Arabidopsis thaliana: one gene and its partners. The protein of the gene in region 1 interacts with the protein of each later gene in a pairwise test. Each region holds a gene or a part of one and is shown on either strand. Other genes may lie near its edges. The genes, in order: AT4G35110, AT3G20260, AT4G15545 and AT5G65400.

Region 1 (4,851 bases):
TGGAAAAATTGGCTGTCAAGGTGATTTCACGTGATAACTAATTTGTTTTTTTGAGGTCATTTGCCATCTTGTGAAAGCCTTTGGAGCCTACTTAAAGATTTTATTTTATTTTTTCTAGTAAAGACGATTGAAGTAACTGCTGTCTATTAGTTAAGATCTGAATCTCCAATGAGGTTATTTATAATTACTTACTCACATTGTGCAACAAAACCAAGCACAATTTGTGGTCCACAAACCTTTATCTGGAGGTTTCTGGTTCAACTTCTCCGGTTTACACTTAAATCTTCGTTTCGTGAGCAAACCCAACGGGGAGCTTCCCGTTGGGCCATGTTTCAGTGGGCTCGGTGTAAAGCCGACATGAGTAACTGAAGCCCAGTAGCATTGTCGCAAATAACAGATTGATTTGTCCGTTGCAAACGGTTTAAAAGCAGAGTACGATACTTTGTTACTTTTAAAAATATCAAATCTAACAATTATGTAACAAAATCAACTAGTGAATAACATAAAAACATAAGATATATTTGGCTTTAAAATCCCCTAAAAATCATCGTTATGGAATAACATCTACTTTTCGACAAAAACAAAGTAACAAAAAAATCGAAGAGTAGAGCTCAAATTGAGTGTAATAAAGAATGAACTCAACAAAATTATTCATTCCTTTATTTTGCAAAAGTGTTGTTTTGACATTTTCTATACACATATTTAAAAGAACTATACTATACAATATTCAACAAGTTCTGCTATAACTAACACAATAAATATAGTTGTGAATTTAATTTTTAATAAACAATCTTTCGTTTTCCAAACTCGAAGGCAACTTGTAATCTTTCCCATTATAGAAAACGAAAGAAACCAAAAAAAAAAAAACATAACCAAAGAAAAATGCATCACACAAATCAAAACGTATTTATTAGCAACAACCAAATATCTTAATATTTTTTATAAGTTACCAATAAATACCAGCTTTCCCATAATACTTAAAAACCCTAACCTTAAAAACTCATTTATTAGAGCATTTTTGATTTTGTGCTATTACCTACTACCCTTGGCTTACTACTAACAACATCACACACAACTCAAACTCACAGAAGCTCATCTATAAACGATTTCCCTTTAAATTTCTCCATTTTGAATCCCATTTTCTCCATCCTCAACCGTTCTGCTTCGATCTCAACCATCTGAGCCCGCGTCTCCTCAATCCGCCGCTTCACTTCCACCACTTCCTTCTCCATCCTAACCAAATCCGTTTCTTGAGCCTCAAGCTCTTCTCTCTTAGCCTTCACTAAACCATCATGCCTCTCTTTCTCATTTTCTACATCTTCTTGAGACTGCGCAAACTCTTCAAGAACAGAACGTAGCCAAGCTACTTCAATGTTCACAGACTCCAAGTCTTTGAGAACCGCAAGCATCTCTTTGACCTTGACTTTGCTCAACTGCCCTACCGGGGTTGACCTAAGTTCCTGCATCAGTGAGCATAAACACTCGAGGTAACGTGATCGCATTGAATCCGATTCCAGCTTACAGTTTTGAGCAATGTCTCCGTGCTTTTCGATGACAGCACTTAGTATAGTGGATGAACCCGATCTGACTCGGTATTTCCCGACAGAGACAAAAGTGTCAGACATTACTGATTCGAGATCGAGCTCTACACCAATCTCATTGTTGTTTTCGTCATCATCATCAGAAAAATCATCATTGCTCTCTTTTCCAGGCGATCTTGGAAGGCTTAGGAAACTAAAGAGTCTAGTTTCGCCGCCTTCTCCAATCTTCCCATTGTGTTCTTGTATTCCCGGTTTAGGTGATACCACTTTGCTTTGATCAACCTTCATAAGATACAAGAATCTTGATGTTTACAAATATGGTAAAGATATGGTGGTCGAAATCATGGAAGAGAGTAAAGGATGAGATACCAAATTGTTTGATGAAAGGGGAATGGTTTGAGAAGGTTTCTTCTCTGGTTTATGGTTGAAGAAATCATCCGGATCACCGGATGATGAAGAAGTGAAAGAATTTTTCGTTTCAGAAACAATCTTCTTCTTCACGGAAGCAGGTGGAGCTACAGAATGATGAACCTTTGGGGAATTACCATTTGCAAAACCGCCTCTGCCGTTTTGATAAGGCCTTGCGGATAGCGGTGTAGGCGGTTGTGAATTCGACTCCTTCTTTTTCCTACCGAAACTCCCTGAGAAGCTAAGAAGCCTTGAACCTGTAACATAACAGAACAAGAATCAGAATCCATAAAGGAAAAGTTTTTAAAATGGCAAAATCAAAAGCAGAAAAAAGTACTTTGCTTCTTAGTGTTCTTCTTGACATGGCCTTGAGCAATTTTCTCTAAACAAGCTGAAGCACATTCATGGAAAGGATTATCCGCATATACGCAATCTGGATGAGCTTTTCTATTGAAATCCATAGCTTTTTGATGAATGGAACAACTGCAACAAAATCAAGATAACTAATCAGCTCAAAGAAGACAAACTCAAAGAACAACACAAGAACTTCAAATTTGTGGTGTCAAAGGACTGAACATATCACATTAAGGGTAAGTAAGTGGTCAAACCTTTACACCTTAATTTCAACAAATAGTTCAAAAAGATTAGACACTAAAAACTTATAATATACAACAACCTCCCAACGAAATTGGATTCCATTCATATTTCACCAACCCTTTATATGATGAAAGAAAAAAAGTAAAGAGGGAGATTGTGAGAAGCAGAGAGAGATTCACCAAAACATATCCATAAAGAAATTTCTTACGAGTAATAGTGAAATTGATCCCCACAAAACCAATCAAATCATAAAATGTATAGGTATAGAGAGATACAAAAAGACGACTTTTGGTTTGTTTCTTCTCCTTAATACTTTCATGGACCGACCATGCAATTTCCAAGTACAATTTTCCAGTGAGATACTAAATTTCAACGGTGGAAGCACTCAGTTATTGACTTAGACCAGAGTTAAAAGGTAGATTATTTTGACCGGCTTGTTTTCTTGAACAGACAAAAACTTCCAAGGCCCACCCTTGTGGATAATATTTTTTTAATAGGTTGAAATTTCGTTTTCCATGATTGTCGTTTGTCACAAAATTTCCTTAGAACAGAGCAAAGAAACAGAGCATATGACAATAAAACAGTATCAATCAGTTTCATCATCGATCATTGAATTAATTCTTAAAACAAAAGCAAACCCACGATTCTGATCGAGATCAAGAATCTATTTGTGGATCAAAGAACCAAACTTTTAATTCACACAAAAATGCAATCAATCAACAAACAGAGAAATAAAGAGAAAGAGAGAGAGAGATATACCAGGAGAATCGGAAGAGGGAGAGAAATGTGATGAGCGGAGAAAAATGAATAAAATGTTGATTTTTATTTTTGTTTATAAGGTATAACAGTTGTGTATATTATAAGGTTCATGTGACATTGTCTTTGGTATAATAATAATATGATGATGATGATGAATTGACCAAAGCCAATATTACCAATTGAAGATAGAGAGAAGCATTTAATTGAAAAGAGGTTGGAAACGGCAATCAATCACACACCTCACTTATCTTCCAGAAGTGGACAACAACGTGGGACGGTTATACAAATACGAGTGAGATTTTTAGAGTCGACGAGAATCGAAAGTAGAAATCTGTAACCACTTAAAGGAAAAGAAATTTAAGAGACAAAAATAAAGAAAGAAAGTTGTCAGTTAAAACGCGTTATTGCGTGTCATTGTTTGCATCACACGTGAGGTTCTTAAGAATCTCAAGTTCTTAACCATATTGCTATATCTCTTGTCTAATTTTATGCATAGAAGTTATCTTTTTTTTTGCTGTCCATTATTACTTAACCAATAAAACTTAGACATCTTTCAATTAATAAATATAGATAATATAAAGTTATGTTTACATTGGATCTCTTAGTATTTTTTCTAATTGTTGTTGCAGATAAGTATAAATCAAATCAAATATATAAATATCATTACTTGCGAATAAGTGTTGATACCAAATTTTCTGATAATATTATGGAGATTGCTTAGGTAAAACATATTTTTATGATTCAATCCGAAGGAAGGAAATTTTCTACCCGATTTGTCAAAGTGCATGCATGTTGATCCGATAGGAAACAACATTTATTATAGAATCTGATAAAAGCATCTTTTTGTTATTAATTGTGTCATCTTTCGTAAGTCGTAATTTTAGTATTAGTACAATATAGTTTCGAAATGCGAGTAGCTTATCCAGAAGCGATAAATGACCATTTCCCCAAAAATACTTTCATCCTTTTTTGTTGGGGGTCAGACTTCATATCATGAAGAAGAAGAAGAAGAAATACATAGAGTCAACTCTAGAGCGTTGGCTTTTAAAAAGACATGAAAAGATTTTGTTAATACTATAATGCACATTCTTTAAATAAATCATTTAGCAAACTACTCTAATACGACCATTCTTTTTCATTCATGCAACATGTCTTTTTCTTTCCCTGTTGTTCTCTAATTTTATTTTACTCTTCATTCATTTGTCTTCGTTGGTGTTTCTTTTTTCTCTTTTTTTTTTCCAGAAAATTAGATATTTATGACCAAATCCATATTTTTCTAATAAAAAATAGAAATATTGTCAGTATACCTGCACAATCGTGTGAACGAGTCACCTGAAACATGATAAATTCTTCTTTCCCCTAAAGCTTACTCGTGTCTCCATCAAGAAATCTTCCAAGAAAGAGACTAGTTTAGTGCATTGTTAGAGAAGTCTCAAATCCTATGACTATGAATCATCAAGCAAGTTACATTGTGTAAGTGTATCTTTCTGTCTTTCATTTTTTTTTTGTGTATACATGTACATTTGAAGGTATACCAAAATCAAGG
Region 2 (5,360 bases), on another chromosome or scaffold:
CAGAGTTAAGTACCTGATGGTGATATTCAAGCTTCCATGAAAGTGTTTTCTCAAAGAGCTTGAAATAAAATGTTTGAAGAGAGAAGAGACCCAGAGAAAAAGAGAGATAGAGAAATTAAAACTAAACCCTTTGAAAAGTTTGCTTCAAGGGGCTTCGTCGAGTCACCAAGTCAAGACTAATCTTAACACTTTTTTGTTTCTCGGCAATTATTGTAAGGTTTTAGTCTTTAATTTAATACACAAAATTTTATTTAAAGAGTTTTTCGATATCGCATTTTTAACAACATTACAATATTCAGCATCACGACGGATTCGCACACGAAGAGGTCGTCGTCTCCTTATAATGACTAAACTACCCCTCAGCATGTTCTTTAACGGTGGTGGTGAAGCAAGCCCTTTTTGGTCATTCAAGCTTTGGCTCCAAATTGGTGACTAGGTTTGCCACGTGTTGACACTTCTAGTTGAAAGAGATACGTTCACGTGGCATTGTCTCTGTTGCCTGTTACTACGCCACCACCAAAACACACTTTAAGTTTTTTGTTTTTGTTTCTTCTTCTTTTTGGATTAAGAAATTCTAATTGTTTGTTTTAAGAACCTGAACACTGTTCAACAGTTTTATAGTTATAGTTCTTAGGATTTTTGTTAAATAGGAAAGTGTGGAAAAGAAATAAAAAGACTTTGGCCAAAAACAATGAAAGTGATAGAAGAATAAGACTTTTCTATCACCATCATGATCATGATCATGGATTTAGTTTCCCATCAACAAGACAACATTGGATTCTTTCATATGTGCTAAATCCAAACGACAACAATGAAAATGGTCCCTTAATAGTGAATCTATGACCAAACCAAGTGTGTTCTTGGAATTGGACTCTTATTGCCAAGAGAATGAATGAAAGCAAATGGAACAACACACACAATTTCTTCTTTGATTTGTCTGCAAAAGAAAAATCCCCAAACCGGATCTTAAAGATCGTATAAAAAGGGAACAGTTGATGCTACAGTATTTGAAATCATTGTGTGTTCATCACTTTATTATATCAACAAGGGAAAAGAATTGGAGATGGGTGTCTTTGAAGCTTCCCAGCTGAAAAGTTGAGCTTTTTCATCTTTTCTTCACACCATAGAAGTTGCTCTTTACTGATTTTCGACATCCTCAAAACCCGTGTTGCGAGTTTGATGTCAATGGCTGCAAACAAGAGTTGAACACCTTCCCATGTTTGAGGCCATGATTTCTTTCTCAGCCCTTTTGTCTTCTTTGAAAGCTCCTTTGCTTTCACCCTTTTCTGCAAAAGTTCCTCTCTTATGAGACACCAAAGAAGCATACGATAGTAATAACATTTGAGTACAGAGAAATCGTACCTTATCAATGGATGACTGAACCAGTAGTAAAGGAGTTGTAGAATTCACATGGTTGTTGTTGTGGTTCCCAAACAAGTGAATACCCCCATTTGGTTTCTTCTTATCCATTTTCAAGAAGACGTTGAAAGTAAGGATCGAGCTCTCTATGACTTTGATGAGATCATCAGCGAGGACCATGAAGCCTGTATCTTTCTCCATCTCCTTTTTATCTGACCCTGATATGTTTTGAACATAACCAACTTCAAGTGTTACTACTACACATAAGGTTTTAAGTCGCGCAATGTATGAGAGCTGAGAAATCACCTTGAATCTTAGGAGCTTGAAGTAGCTTAGGCATTGCATTTCTAGCACGAGCATAAAGTTCCGATCTTGAGCCTTGCTCAAACGGTTCATTCTCTATATACCTCTGCAACAAGACTAGGAATTGCTGAAACAGTTGGGCAGTATGGTTGTAGCAAGTCGGGGTTTCGGGTTGGCATGAGATTAAGTGGCTCAGCTGCGTGTATTGACAGTGAAGTGCCTCCCAAGTGAGGCAGAGTTGAGCAACATAGGCCGTCTCTAGATCTTGATAAGGGTCGTCAACTTCTGTCGGCTGCAAATGCTCGATATCTTCCTCCGGAACATCAAACTTTTTGAGAGAAAGACATCGGAAAGGCGATGACAGCTTCTTAGATGCAGATCTTGGCGATGGAGTTGAAGGACTTGGAGCAATTCCAATGCCTAAGAGATTGAAAAGTAACCAACAAATCCATGATCAGTCCAATCTATCACAATGAAAAACAGTTCAAAGCAAGAAGCTTTTACCAGTTTCCTTGAGCTGCTGAGAGCTTAAACGATCAAAGAAGAGCATACGCTCGCAATACTTTTCATAGACAGCATCAAAACCTCCCCACCATTGAAGTCCTTCAGCAACCACATCTCTCCACTCACTTGAACACTTGTCTTCTCCGTCATCATCATCTTCATCTAGATACGATTCCTCTTCTTCTTCTTCTTCTTCCTCAGGTATCAACACCATGAAACTGTTTCTCCTCAACTCCTTGAGCCTTCTCTTAACCTCATTGGTAATGAAATCATCATCGTCATCTTCGATCTCATCTCCTTTCCCCGAATCTATCACACCAGCTTCAGTGTTCTCACTCCTTGCCTGTTCTTGCTGAGCCAATATCTTGTCTTCTTTCTCCTTTTCAAGGTTTGGCTTCCGAGACTTTCGAAATTTTCTAACTTTCAAGAAATCCATTGCCTCCTCAAACACACTTAGGAGAGTGAGTGTTTTTTGTTAAATCATAAGATCTAAACTGAGACTAGTCTCTTTGCATGAGTAAAAGCGTTTCTCTTCTGCCACAACGAACTTAATCAAAGAATCAACCAAACCAGAGAATGAGGAAAATGCATGAATCTAGTAAGATCTCAGAGAATCATGAGCAAACCCTAGAGAATTAGGAACACCGACAGAAGATTAAGAATGCATAAGTAGATCAGTAGCAACAACAGCATTTGTCTGAAACTTTAGATTCGATTCACTAATCTCTAGCTGATAAGAACACTAGCATTCCCTGATAAATCAACACTCCACTGAAACTACTACTACACTGAGCAAAGAGTGTGAGAAAAAAAACAAAAAGAAAGAAAAAGATTCAAAATTTAAGAAAGAAAGAGAAACCCAAATAAAAGCAAAACAAAATCGAAAGACAAAGACAGGAGGAGGAGGAGATTAAAGAAGGAGAAATGTTTCTAACCACTTGCAAGAGAGAGAGAGAGAAAGCAAAGTATAATAATGTCTCAATTCAAGTTTTTTCAGTAAATGGACAGAGAGAGCACAATATAAATGTGAGAGAGGAAAGGAGAGCAAGTATTATTGATTCTTAAACAGATGTCATTAAATTCAATAATTAAACTTTGTGATTTCAAATTCCAAAAAAAAACTAGAAATTTTCTTCCTTTCTTAAAACCCTTTCCTCAAAAATTTCCATTTGCAGTCAAAACCCTCACAAAGAGGTTTCTGAGTCAATTTGACTTTTTGTTTATTTCCTAATGGGTCGAAATTGTCTTTTACTGTTTGGTTTCTTACTTTACTTTTTCTGATACTTCATTTTCTATTGGTTAATTTTTGGTTTTGTTTTGGTGTTTGATTAGAGAAGGAGAGAGATGTATGAATGAATGAAAAGGAGAAGAAGCAGTAACAAGTAACAACTGGTAGGTAGGTCAGTGGGGGGAGAGATAGAAAGAAAAGCATCGTACAGAGAATATTGTCAGAAAAGCCGCGCTATCTGTTCTCCTTCCATTTGCTCACTTCTCTCTTTTAAAATTACATCTTTACCCTCCTCCGTCTCATACATCTACGGGTCTTATCTTTGTTTCTGATGACAATTTGGGCTTCTCTTAAAATGGGCTTTTTCTTTACCAAATTTATGTATACTGCTATGAAACGACGTCGTCTTTTACTTTGGTTATATTGGTATGGTTTTTGAATTTACTTTGGTTACGATTCCGGTCTAGTGGATTGGATGAAACCGAATTGGAGAGCTTGAGGTTATGATCCATGGCTTCATTTGGCATGTCTCTCACACCAGTTCTTCTTCTCAGGGATTACTTACTACCTCTTGTAAGTTCTCATTCGATTCTATTTTTGCTTGAATTCTGTTTCAGCTGATGAAACGCTTGTTATCATCTTAGCCGTTTCGTTTTCTACTCTTTCTAGTTATAAAATTTTGACTTCTTCAAGAGAATTTTTTTTGGGTTCCAATCAATCAGATTGCTATGATCCTCTGAATAGAATTTTCTTGTTGATATAGGGACTTGTGTTGTTGAGTTTGAGCCTATAGTGATCAAATGGGATTCTCATATGAATTTTACTCAAATTTTGTTACTTTTTTAATCTTATAACTGTAGACAAAAGCTTATCCTTTTATTGGTTACAAATCGTATGAACATTTGATTCTATGCTTTTTGCTTTGCCATTAAGCAATTGATTTTTTTTAGTTTGCTTGTTTCCGGATTATGGGAATGAAGCTTCACTGGGATTAAGAATCTGTAAGTAATATGTTTTTGTTTAATAAGCTTTAGGCTTATAGATATGTTTTTTTAAAGTTCTAAGTTAGTGTTGTGTTTGTTACTCTTAAACATACTTAAAAAGCTACTAAATGAGTGCTATTCAATAATGTTCTGTTTGATTTCGATGGAATAATTTAGTGTGACTGATGTTGCTTTTATGTCGCTTATGTATTATTGGTGATCTATGTGTAAAACATGTGTTGCAGGATAGTAATGAACCGAAGTAAAGAAGAGAACGTTGCTCCGACAATGAAAGATGATAGTCCATTTGGAAAGCTTACAGAGGATCTCTTGATAGAGATATTTATCAGAATTCCAATAACAAATTGGGAACAAGTATCGTGTGTTAGAAAGCAGTGGGCTAATTTATTCCGCGGAGAATGCTTATGGCTGGCTGCTCTTAATCGGGCGTATCCACTTGCTAGCAAAACTAAGAGCTGGATTGGACCAATTCGTCAAGGATTAAGCAAACGGTGACTGGAAACACACTTGATTTCTATGAAAAAAGCTAGCTTAATAATGTCTTAGTTAGATTCAAGGAACTTAACAGCCTTTTAGCTGCAGGAGATATGTGGCTTTATACATCAGCAGAAACATATTAGGTGTGGATGATACAGACATAGATGAGATGCTTGGACATATTTACGTGTTCTTGAATGATCAGCTTCAACTTTCCACTATGCCTGCTTCAGGCATTTTGCATGGAACCCTTATCGGTAAGCTAGTTTGGTATATGCATTTGACTCTGCTTAATGAATCATTGCTAATGACGGCATTCATCTTATATTCTGGTGGCAGACCAATTGATTGTTTGTGGCCAATCGAAAGAAGAAGCTGGTGAGCTTGCAACAAAGATTTGGCTGGCTCTTCTTGACAATTTAGAGGACACAAAACATACATTTACCGTGCTGAAATCAATCGCACAAGAATATGATGTAAGAAAG
Region 3 (4,859 bases), 7.8 Mb from region 1:
CTTCATGTTTCTAGATTTATGAGCATTTTCGGGTTGTTTATCGCTAACTTGGGGGTGAATAACAGGCTCACGTCGCGGGTAGCTGGTTGTAAAGGTATAGAATATAGTTCCCCAACTCTTTCCTCTGCTATCAGCAATCTTACACCAGCTTTCACCTTCATCCTTGCCATCTTCTTCAGGTTCCACTTTCTCCTAAACCGGGTGATTCCAATCTTAACCATACAAAAGATATGATTTTCACACAGTAACAGTCAATATGAAATGATATTTTTGTCTGTGAATTATGGAGTAGTTGTATAAGTATGAGAAATGTTGGATAGATATGAGGTTTGTTTGTAACTCTAACTTTGATGACTTGTTCTGCTTCCTTGGGTGACTTAAAGGATGGAACAAGTAATGTTAAGAAGCTCTGCAACTCAGGCTAAAATCATTGGCACAATAGTTTCTATATCTGGTGCTCTGGTTATTGTTCTGTATAAAGGCCCAAAACTTCTTGTTGCTGCATCGTTTACTTCATTCGAGTCAAGTTGGATAATTGGAGGCCTTTTGCTCGGTCTGCAGTTTTTGCTTCTTTCAGTCTGGTTTATTCTTCAGGTAGTACATACACTTGGAACAGATTCATGAAAGAGATTTTTGGATTTGTTGGTGACGCATAAGATTGAGCTAAATTTGTCACTTCCACATGATTTTAGACTCATATCATGGAGATATACCCTGAAGAAATAGCCGTAGTCTTCTGCTACAACTTATGCGCAACTCTAATCTCAGGGACAGTATGTCTACTTGTAGAAAAAGACTTGAATTCTTGGCAGCTTAAACCAGGTTTCTCCCTCGCTTCAGTCATATACTCGGTAAGTAATCAAACCTCATAAGTTGAGAAATCAAATCTTTAGCTCAGAAACTAATACTCTGTTTCAGGGACTCTTTGATACATCATTGGGCTCAGTTATCCACACATGGGGTCTCCATGTGAAGGGTCCAGTCTACATATCCTTGTTCAAGCCGCTGTCTATCGCAATTGCAGTCGCCATGGCTGCTATATTCCTCGGCGACACACTTCATCTTGGGAGGTACCATCTTATTACCTTCAACTTTATAATGTCTCTTTCTTAAAGAAACATAGTGATGATAACTTAGTTCTAGGTGTTTGAAATGTTTAGTTTCATCTTCAAATACATAATGAATAATAAAATGTGAAGACAGTAACAACTAACAATCGATATAGATTTTCGGTTGTTAGGTAATAAGATTTACATGATTGGTACATATAAATTTGCATCTATGTGTTGTGGGCAGTGTGATTGGATCAGTGATATTGAGCTTTGGGTTTTACACTGTGATTTGGGGCAAAGCAAGAGAGGATTCAACCAAAACAGTAAGTGATTCTGAGCAATCACTTTTATTGCCTTCACACGACAGAGAAGAAGATTGAAACCTTGTCATGAAAATATGTTGGAGACAAGTGTAATCGTTTTCTTATTTTATTCATAATTATGGTCCCATTAGATGATGATGATCCCTATTTATCTTGTAAGTTGTAAGATCTTATGACTTGTACAAAAAAAATCTAACATGATACATTGAAATGTGAAAAATGATATACTTATTTGTTGAGAAAATGATAATATTTCTTATAGTATAAGGAATTTATTTACTTTTCTAGGGGGTAAAATCCAGCTATGTCCGGATTTTCGGTTTGTTTGCAATTTGAATCCGGTTTTGTATCCAGTTTGACGTTTGGAATTGGATACAATGTATTTGTCTCCTCTTATGTGTCCAATGAATTATAGTCCTATCCATTCATAGAACAAAAACTTGGCTTACCCAATTCAATACCACACATTATGTCATATCACTTCACACAAAAAGACAAACCATACGTGACCACATTTCTCTTTATCCACACACATTCACGTCTATCAATTCAATCATATCAACATTACATAACCGAACCGGTATCAATCCCAAACCGGAATTGTATTTCCCATAACACAATAGAATTTAGCGTTGACATAATGAAGCTTTTTGTAATAATACAGTCTCAATCGATGAATATTGATATGTAAAATCAAGAAATTGTTTGGTTTAGACTCAAATTTCGGTTTAATACTAATACCGGGTTATACCGTAACCGTATATGAACTCATAAGGTACAAAAAAAACACAGAAAACGAGAAATGTCAGAGATAGAAGAAGAAGAAGAAGAAGGATCAGCAAGTGCAATTACAGGTTCGAGAAGTTTCGATCTTCCCGATGAACTTCTTCAAGTTCTACCGTCCGATCCATTCGAGCAGCTAGATGTAGCTCGCAAAATCACATCCATTGCTCTCTCGACACGTGTCTCAGCTCTCGAATCAGAGTCGTCGGATCTCCGGGAACTTCTCGCCGAGAAAGAAAAAGAATTTGAAGAACTCCAGTCTCACGTTGAGTCTCTCGAGGCTTCTCTTTCCGATGCGTTTCATAAGCTTTCTCTCGCTGATGGTGAAAAGGTCCGACCCGACCCGGTTTTTGACTTTATTTGTTCTGTTTTGACCCGATTCATTTTTACTGATTTTGATCTAATTATCTTCTTCCAGGAGAATCTGATAAGAGAAAATGCTTCTTTGTCTAATACTGTCAAGAGACTTCAGAGAGATGTCTCAAAGGTAATTTTGACTCTGTTTCAAATTTGACGTCAGGTCTCTTTGTTTCTAAATTTGGAAGTAGCTGAGATTTTAGGGTTTTTGTTTCTAAATTTGTGTGCAGCTTGAGGGTTTTAGGAAGACGCTTATGATGTCTCTTCAAGATGATGACCAAAATGTATGAAACTTATACTCTTCATGTTCTCTAATTTGCTTTGAAGTAACAAATTCATGATCTTGAATTGATTGTGTTTGGTTTTGTAACAGGCAGGAACAACGCAAATCATCGCTAAGCCGACACCAAACGGTATAGTTCTTGTGAAGATTTTAGTGAAAACTTGTGTTCATATACCAAAATGGATGGTTCTTATTGTGGTTTATTGTCATTTTCAGATGATGATACTCCATTTCAACCTTCAAGACATTCATCAATCCAATCTCAACAAGCTTCTGAAGCCATTGAACCAGCTGCAACTGACAACGAAAACGATGGTATAGTACTTGCTTGCTCTCAACGCTTAAGCCACTAACCTTTTGTGTTTAATGCGTTAGTTTGTTTTGTGTTATATCGTAGCTCCTAAACCAAGTTTATCAGCTAGTCTTCCGTTAGTATCACAAACTACTACGCCACGGCTTACTCCTCCTGGTTCTCCACCAATCTTATCTGCTTCTGGTACACCGAAAACAACTTCGAGACCTATCTCTCCTCGACGCCATTCTGTATCGTTCGCTACCACTAGAGGCATGTTTGATGATACTAGATCTTCTATTTCAATCTCAGAGCCTGGTTCACAAACTGGTAAGTTCAAACCAAGATTTTCTTGTGGCGGGTTTTGGAACAACACCTTTATTTACGGTTTGTTTGTTATCTTCGTTTTCAGCGAGAACTCGGGTTGATGGAAAAGAGTTCTTTCGACAAGTCAGGAGCCGATTATCTTACGAGCAATTTGGTGCATTTCTTGGAAATGTGAAGGATCTTAACGCCCACAAGCAAACAAGAGAAGTAAGGAGAATCCTCTCTCAATCATCTTTACCCTCTTTCGATTCAAAACTTGGATTCTGATTCGACCTGCAATGTCTTTTCTTCTTTGTTTTCTAGGAAACACTTAGGAAAGCTGAAGAGATATTTGGAGGCGATAACAGAGATCTCTACGTCATATTCGAGGGCTTGATCACACGCAACGCTCACTAAGAGTTTGGCTTCTTCAGTTACACAAAGAACTTATATACTCGGAAACTCAGGATTCATCAGTCTGCAACATTCAATTTCTTTTGTTTCCTTGGCTGTCAAGTAAGACCAAGTAAAACTGACAATTTGATTGTATCATTTGTGCTCTCTCGTGTATCTATCTATCTCTCTCTTCTTGAATAAATTACATTTCATCATCTTCAAAACTAACCAATCAACATCCAAAATACTGTCTACTGTATTGTGTAAACATTGAAACAGAGCAAGGAAGAACAGAAAAGCGGAGTGTTGTTATAATTTCTGATACCAAAATCACATGTGCTCATCGACAAAAGCTTTGAGATGATTAAAGGAAGAGCCTCCTTCTCTCACAGCCTCCGCCGCTAAATCCTTCCACCTCGTGGCATTTCCTCTAAACTCCTCCGCCTTGTCTTCCATAACTTCCTCAATGCACCGCCGTATCTCCTCACTATCCACCACCACAACTCCTTCTTCTTCCTTCTTCTCCATCACTCTTACACCTGTTTTCCAACAATCTTCTAAAAGCTTCGCGTTCATCATCTGATCATTCCATTGCGGAAACGCCACCACCGGAACTCCTGAAACCAAGCTCTCCAGCGTAGAGTTCCACCCGCAATGCGTCACGAAACAACCTATCGATCTATGATTCAAAACCCTAAACTGATCACACCATGAAACCACCATTCCTATCTCATCGAGCTCTTCTCTGAAACTACTTATGCAATCTTCTTCCTTCTCTTGCTCATCTTCTTTATTTCTGTACGACTTATCCGTAATCACCCACAAGAATGGTCTCCGACTTTGTATCAACGCTTTACAAAGCTCCACAAGCTGTTTCTTGCTCAACACGGCAAGCGTCCCGAACGAAACATAAAGCACAGACGAATCCGCTTTAGTATCCAACCACTCTATGTATTCACCGCGACTCGAAAAATCCGTTCTCAACGTTAGTAACGGACCGACAGGGACAATCTTGAAATTATCTGGAACCGAGCTCATGGCTTCTGGCTCAAGCTCTTGGAAAGTGT
Region 4 (4,543 bases), on another chromosome or scaffold:
GAGTTAATAGATTTCCTAAGTCAATGATAGGGTCTTTGAAATTCAATTTATTGCATATATCTATACATTAATGTTGATACGGTCATCACAATTCACAACTAGACATTCTCACGAGAAATTATTTTCTACCTCTTATTAAAATAGTGGTTTGGTATATCATGAGAACAGGGAAAACAACACAAAAACTAAACCAAACAACTATTTCAAGATATAAGCAAATTGTTGAAAATAGATTATGATGATGATTTGTTAAAAGTGCATGAAAACTAAACAGTTAAAGCTTTGCAAGCGTGAGAATACTTATGATGGGTATACATATAAGTCTGAAATTACACAACCCATGTCGACGTCTACTGTTTATCATATATTTATTTTGAAATGAGGGGTAATCATATGATCTGTAATTCGATATGTTCAATCAATTATTTCATACAAGAATAAAAAAAGAGTTGAAATTTTGTTTTTTTTTTAAGACTAGAAAGCAACCGACAAGGCTAAGTTAATAGGGTATAAGGGGGTAGATTGAAAAAGAAGTAAAACTTTGTTACAAGTGGAACTCATAGATTATCATGAGATCCATTTGACCATTAATACATCTAAAGGACAATAATTTAACTCACCTTCTTTGATGCCCCCCTCCATATTTTTTGTTCTTCCATCATTTTTTTTTTTTGTTGTTAAATTCTCCTAACATTTTTCCTATAACAAAGAAAAAAGTTTGAATAGAGTTTTTGATATTGGCTGCTCATATATTTAAAGGAAGACAATTGTACCAAACTATTTGACCATCTTTGGCTCTTCTCTATAAACTGTAATTACATGAACGGGCAATCCATATTGGTTGGTAAATTTAATAATTTACGTTTATTGAATTGTCCCTGGATAAAGACTAAACCAGAAGAATAATCACATCTCACAATTTTATAAAATTGCAAGATCATCTAATCTAAAGTAAACCATACTGGAGTAGCTCTCAGTCACATCAAGCTTCTTACAGAACCTGATTCATCAGAAAGCATCTGCCTAATGCTCTGGAAGAAACTCAACATTGTCTCCTCAGCTTTAGTATCTGCAGAAGACAAAGATAAGCTCATTAGAGTAAATTAAGAAGAGACAGATCTTATGTTACTTATTTCAATTGCATATTTCTCCAAAAAAAATCAGAGCTTAAATGATCAGCCTTTCATGCTTACTAACCGAGTTTTGGTATAATGTGTCCACCTGAATGATGGATCACCACTGGCTCTACGAATGATTCTACAAGCACTTCACCTTCTATCTTCAGGAAATCCCTCTCACCTGCAGCAAAACCGATACAGAATTACAAACAAGTTGTCTCTTATGTCATATCAAATGTTGTAGGAGAGAATCTCTAACGTTAACATGTAGTGCTGCAGATTAGATTCTAGTCTAAACACTCCCATGCCAATCTTGGCTACACTAAAGGCACACTACTAACGTAAGCTTCAAACAACAGAAACTTGGCATTACAACATAACCGAGAAATCAAGTCAAGAACATGCGCAACGTAGTAACAGTTTACCTATGAAGTGGAGTGATGGGCAACGAACTGGAGATGAGAATGCATTAACAGCAGCTTTAGGCTCCCCAAACATCAACCCTGGAATTTTCGCTCCAGAAATGATAACTAAAAACTTGACTTTTGGCACCTTAGTTAGAGCCGATCCCTACAAAACAGTTTACAACATCACAGACTTACTCAAACTATTAAAACAACATGTTTCATTCTTCAATTCAGATTCAACCTCTCTGTTGCATATAAATGGTTTCAACATCACACACTTGCTCAAAACAGAACAATAGAAAACTACTCTAACAATAGGTTTCATTCTTCAAAATATCATAAGCAGATTCAATCTCAGAACCAGGATTATGATCAGTTATGCAGTTATGTACCTGTTCTTGCATTCCAGGAATAGCTGCAGTTAGAAAAGCTCCCTGCAAGAATGGATCAAGAATCAACGGTCCACGATCCTCCTGCTGATATATATGAAAGTGATCAGTACTAAAATCTCGCCAAAGAATCAAAACAAACCTGAGAAAAACCAAGAAGACCATCAAAAGGTCCATTCTTTATCATGTAGTCCTCTATATAAGCCAAACACTCTTCAAAATTCCTATATTCCTTAAACCCCTGCAAACACACACACACACAAATCAAATTATGTATACAAACTTAGACCAAATCTCTCTGTTTTCTAGAGAAAAAAAACAACCTTTACTCTGATAGTGTTAACAGTGTCAATGATCAATACTGAATTCAAGGAAATTTAGGATTTTGTTGCAACGAACCTTGTTAGCCTGGTACCACTCGTAATACGGTGGGTCAAAGAAACGCTCGACGTCCGATTTCCCGGTGGCCGGAAAAGGAGCGTCAAGGAAATCGAGGTCGAGATCTCGGAGAATTGTGTCCGGCCATTTACCTATACCGGCTTGGAGAATCCGACCACTAGTTCTGAATCCATGAAGGCATAAAATTCTAGGGTTCTTCGGTTTCAGGTGAATTTCCGGCGCCATCGCCGTCGTTAACCGTAATCCCGTTTGGAAACAAGGATAGGAGTATCCTAACATCTGACAAGCTCTAGCTCTCTTCTCAGGTTTCGAATTGTCCTTGTGCCCTAACATATCGCTTGTCGCGAAAGTTTTGGTAGAAAGGCCCAAAACTCTATAGGCCCATAAAGAAGAATCCTTTGAAATCAGTTTCGCAAATATCGGCCCATATCATTGTTTATCTCTTATTACAAATATTTTCCAAACTTTCAAGAGTTACAATTACAAATAGATCAATATATATATAGACAATGAAAATTATGTATGGAGAAGCTTACTCGAAGAAATGAGAGTTTTCCACTAACAAAAAAAACTTGTATATTCATCATAATCTAACTTTTTTTTAGATAATCCAAATCATGCTTTAAATTATGTAAAGTTCAGTTAGAAGTGAATACATGTTGCTCTAAGAGTTACAACAACATAAAGCCAGCACAAAACTCATGCTTTAGCATTCTCTTCCCCTAAATAAATATATGCTTCTTGGCTATATATATTATTAGACACGCATATGGGACATCATGTTTTTTTTTTTTTTTTTTTTTACAATTATCAAGAAAATGGTTTGGAGTCGAGGTGGTCTTTCGGCAATTTTGACTGCAGCCGAAGCCAAAGATAAAGAAATTTCGACATTAAACCTCAACAGTTTTTTCATATGGATTCAAAGCAAACTACTATGTATAGATTCATTTTTAACACTTAATTCATCCTCTAGGAATCCCACACTGATGTAATCAAATCGTATATATTGCAAATGAACTTTATAGCATATGTAACAAAGCAAGTTATAGTGCATATATAACGAACTTGTCGTTATCATCTGAAACAACCTGTAATGATCTTCTCAATTCTTTATATTGATGTTCACACTAATGAAAATAAAGTTGGATGCAAATATTTTGAACTTTTAGTTAGGGATTAATCAATCGAGTCAGTGCAATAAAAATTGTAGGTATAGTGTATAATCGTCGGTTGGTTTCGCATCATATGGGCCTCATAAAATTGCCAACTATAATTCAGTTCATTTTGTCAAATACCGATTATATTTTAATTTAATGATTAATACGAACCTTCTGGATTCACTGTAAAATGACCTTTACAGGCTATCAAATGTCTTCTTCCGTTGTTATGTTATGTTGTAATGTATATGTACCCGTTTTATTTGGGGTTATAATATTTGTATTTATTATTCAACTATATAAAATTCTCTGACAGCTATCTCCAACTCTTGTTACTACTAGCAACAAACACAAGAGATAGTAATGGACAAAAGAAAATAAATAAAACGAAAAACAGCAAATATCCAACGGTAACGACAACAATAAAACCATAACCAGTAATCAAAAATTATCCCGATAGGTCTGCTACGCACATGGGATATACGATAATAACGACATCGTTCTTTCTTGATAGATCTGTATTTTTGTCATTAAGGTTCATCGTATACGGGCAAAGAGATCGTTACTATTTACTATATCAGAAAAAGTATACTATTATTATCGGTGGGTGGATCGATTAGACAGTAAGACAAACATGATACAATATTCAATACTACTTCATTATACGTTTTCTCTCTCCAATTATTATTGACAATCATGATTCGATTTAGCTAAACCAATCCGGTCTTCTAAAACCATTGATGATTTTATACTCAACGGATAGAATTGGTTCTCAACTTCGATTTCTCATCTACTATACTTACCAAATCATTAAAAAATGACAAATTTACAACTAAGAGCTAAAAATTGAGTTAACCTAAAAATCCTACAAAATTATATATATACATATATGCGACTACATTATAGTGATAAAATGATCTATCACTTAATTATGTTTAGTTTTGAAAATGTATTCTCTTATTTACGATAAAACAAGTTGTTAATCACTGATATGTGTGTGTTACTGATCAAATATTTTTGCTATTTTTTTTCACTTAAACGTTTCTGCTATTTGACTACTAAAATGTTATTCC

The links.
Region 2: the proteins of AT4G35110 (region 1) and AT3G20260 interact in a two-hybrid assay, tested with the Arabidopsis thaliana proteins (one large-scale study listed by BioGRID).
Region 3: the proteins of AT4G35110 (region 1) and AT4G15545 interact in a two-hybrid assay, tested with the Arabidopsis thaliana proteins (one large-scale study listed by BioGRID).
Region 4: the proteins of AT4G35110 (region 1) and AT5G65400 interact in a two-hybrid assay, tested with the Arabidopsis thaliana proteins (one large-scale study listed by BioGRID).

Annotation. Positions count from the first base shown.
Region 1 is NC_003075.7:16,711,578-16,716,428, forward strand, and holds AT4G35110 (phospholipase-like protein (PEARLI 4) family protein), read right to left. Parts: upstream 3,215-4,851; 5' UTR 2,740-3,214; coding exon of another isoform or gene 2,726-2,739; 5' UTR 2,649-2,725; coding exon 2,626-2,648; exon of another isoform or gene 2,433-2,625; coding exon 2,287-2,432; intron 2,207-2,286; coding exon 1,911-2,206; intron 1,824-1,910; coding exon 1,083-1,823; 3' UTR 838-1,082; downstream 1-837.
Region 2 is NC_003074.8:7,063,150-7,068,509, forward strand, and holds AT3G20260 (DUF1666 family protein (DUF1666)), read right to left. Parts: upstream 3,581-5,360; 5' UTR 2,603-3,580; coding exon 2,167-2,602; intron 2,083-2,166; coding exon 1,666-2,082; intron 1,578-1,665; coding exon 1,363-1,577; intron 1,287-1,362; coding exon 1,041-1,286; 3' UTR 761-1,040; downstream 1-760. Other genes in the region: AT3G20270 (lipid-binding serum glycoprotein family protein), read left to right, coding at 4,630-4,889, 4,981-5,132, 5,215-5,351.
Region 3 is NC_003075.7:8,873,755-8,878,613, forward strand, and holds AT4G15545 (PH-response transcription factor), read left to right. Parts: upstream 1-1,901; 5' UTR 1,902-2,177; coding exon 2,178-2,489; intron 2,490-2,576; coding exon 2,577-2,645; intron 2,646-2,745; coding exon 2,746-2,799; intron 2,800-2,888; coding exon 2,889-2,928; intron 2,929-3,014; coding exon 3,015-3,113; intron 3,114-3,195; coding exon 3,196-3,420; intron 3,421-3,502; coding exon 3,503-3,624; intron 3,625-3,720; coding exon 3,721-3,813; 3' UTR 3,814-4,045; downstream 4,046-4,859. Other genes in the region: UMAMIT38 (EamA-like transporter family), read left to right, coding at 66-179, 384-594, 693-851, 919-1,070, 1,297-1,432; IAGLU (indole-3-acetate beta-D-glucosyltransferase), read right to left, coding at 4,123-4,859.
Region 4 is NC_003076.8:26,129,497-26,134,039, reverse strand, and holds AT5G65400 (alpha/beta-Hydrolases superfamily protein), read right to left. Parts: upstream 2,758-4,543; 5' UTR 2,647-2,757; coding exon 2,314-2,646; intron 2,156-2,313; coding exon 2,057-2,155; intron 1,960-2,056; coding exon 1,918-1,959; intron 1,689-1,917; coding exon 1,544-1,688; intron 1,300-1,543; coding exon 1,198-1,299; intron 1,070-1,197; coding exon 978-1,069; 3' UTR 740-977; downstream 1-739.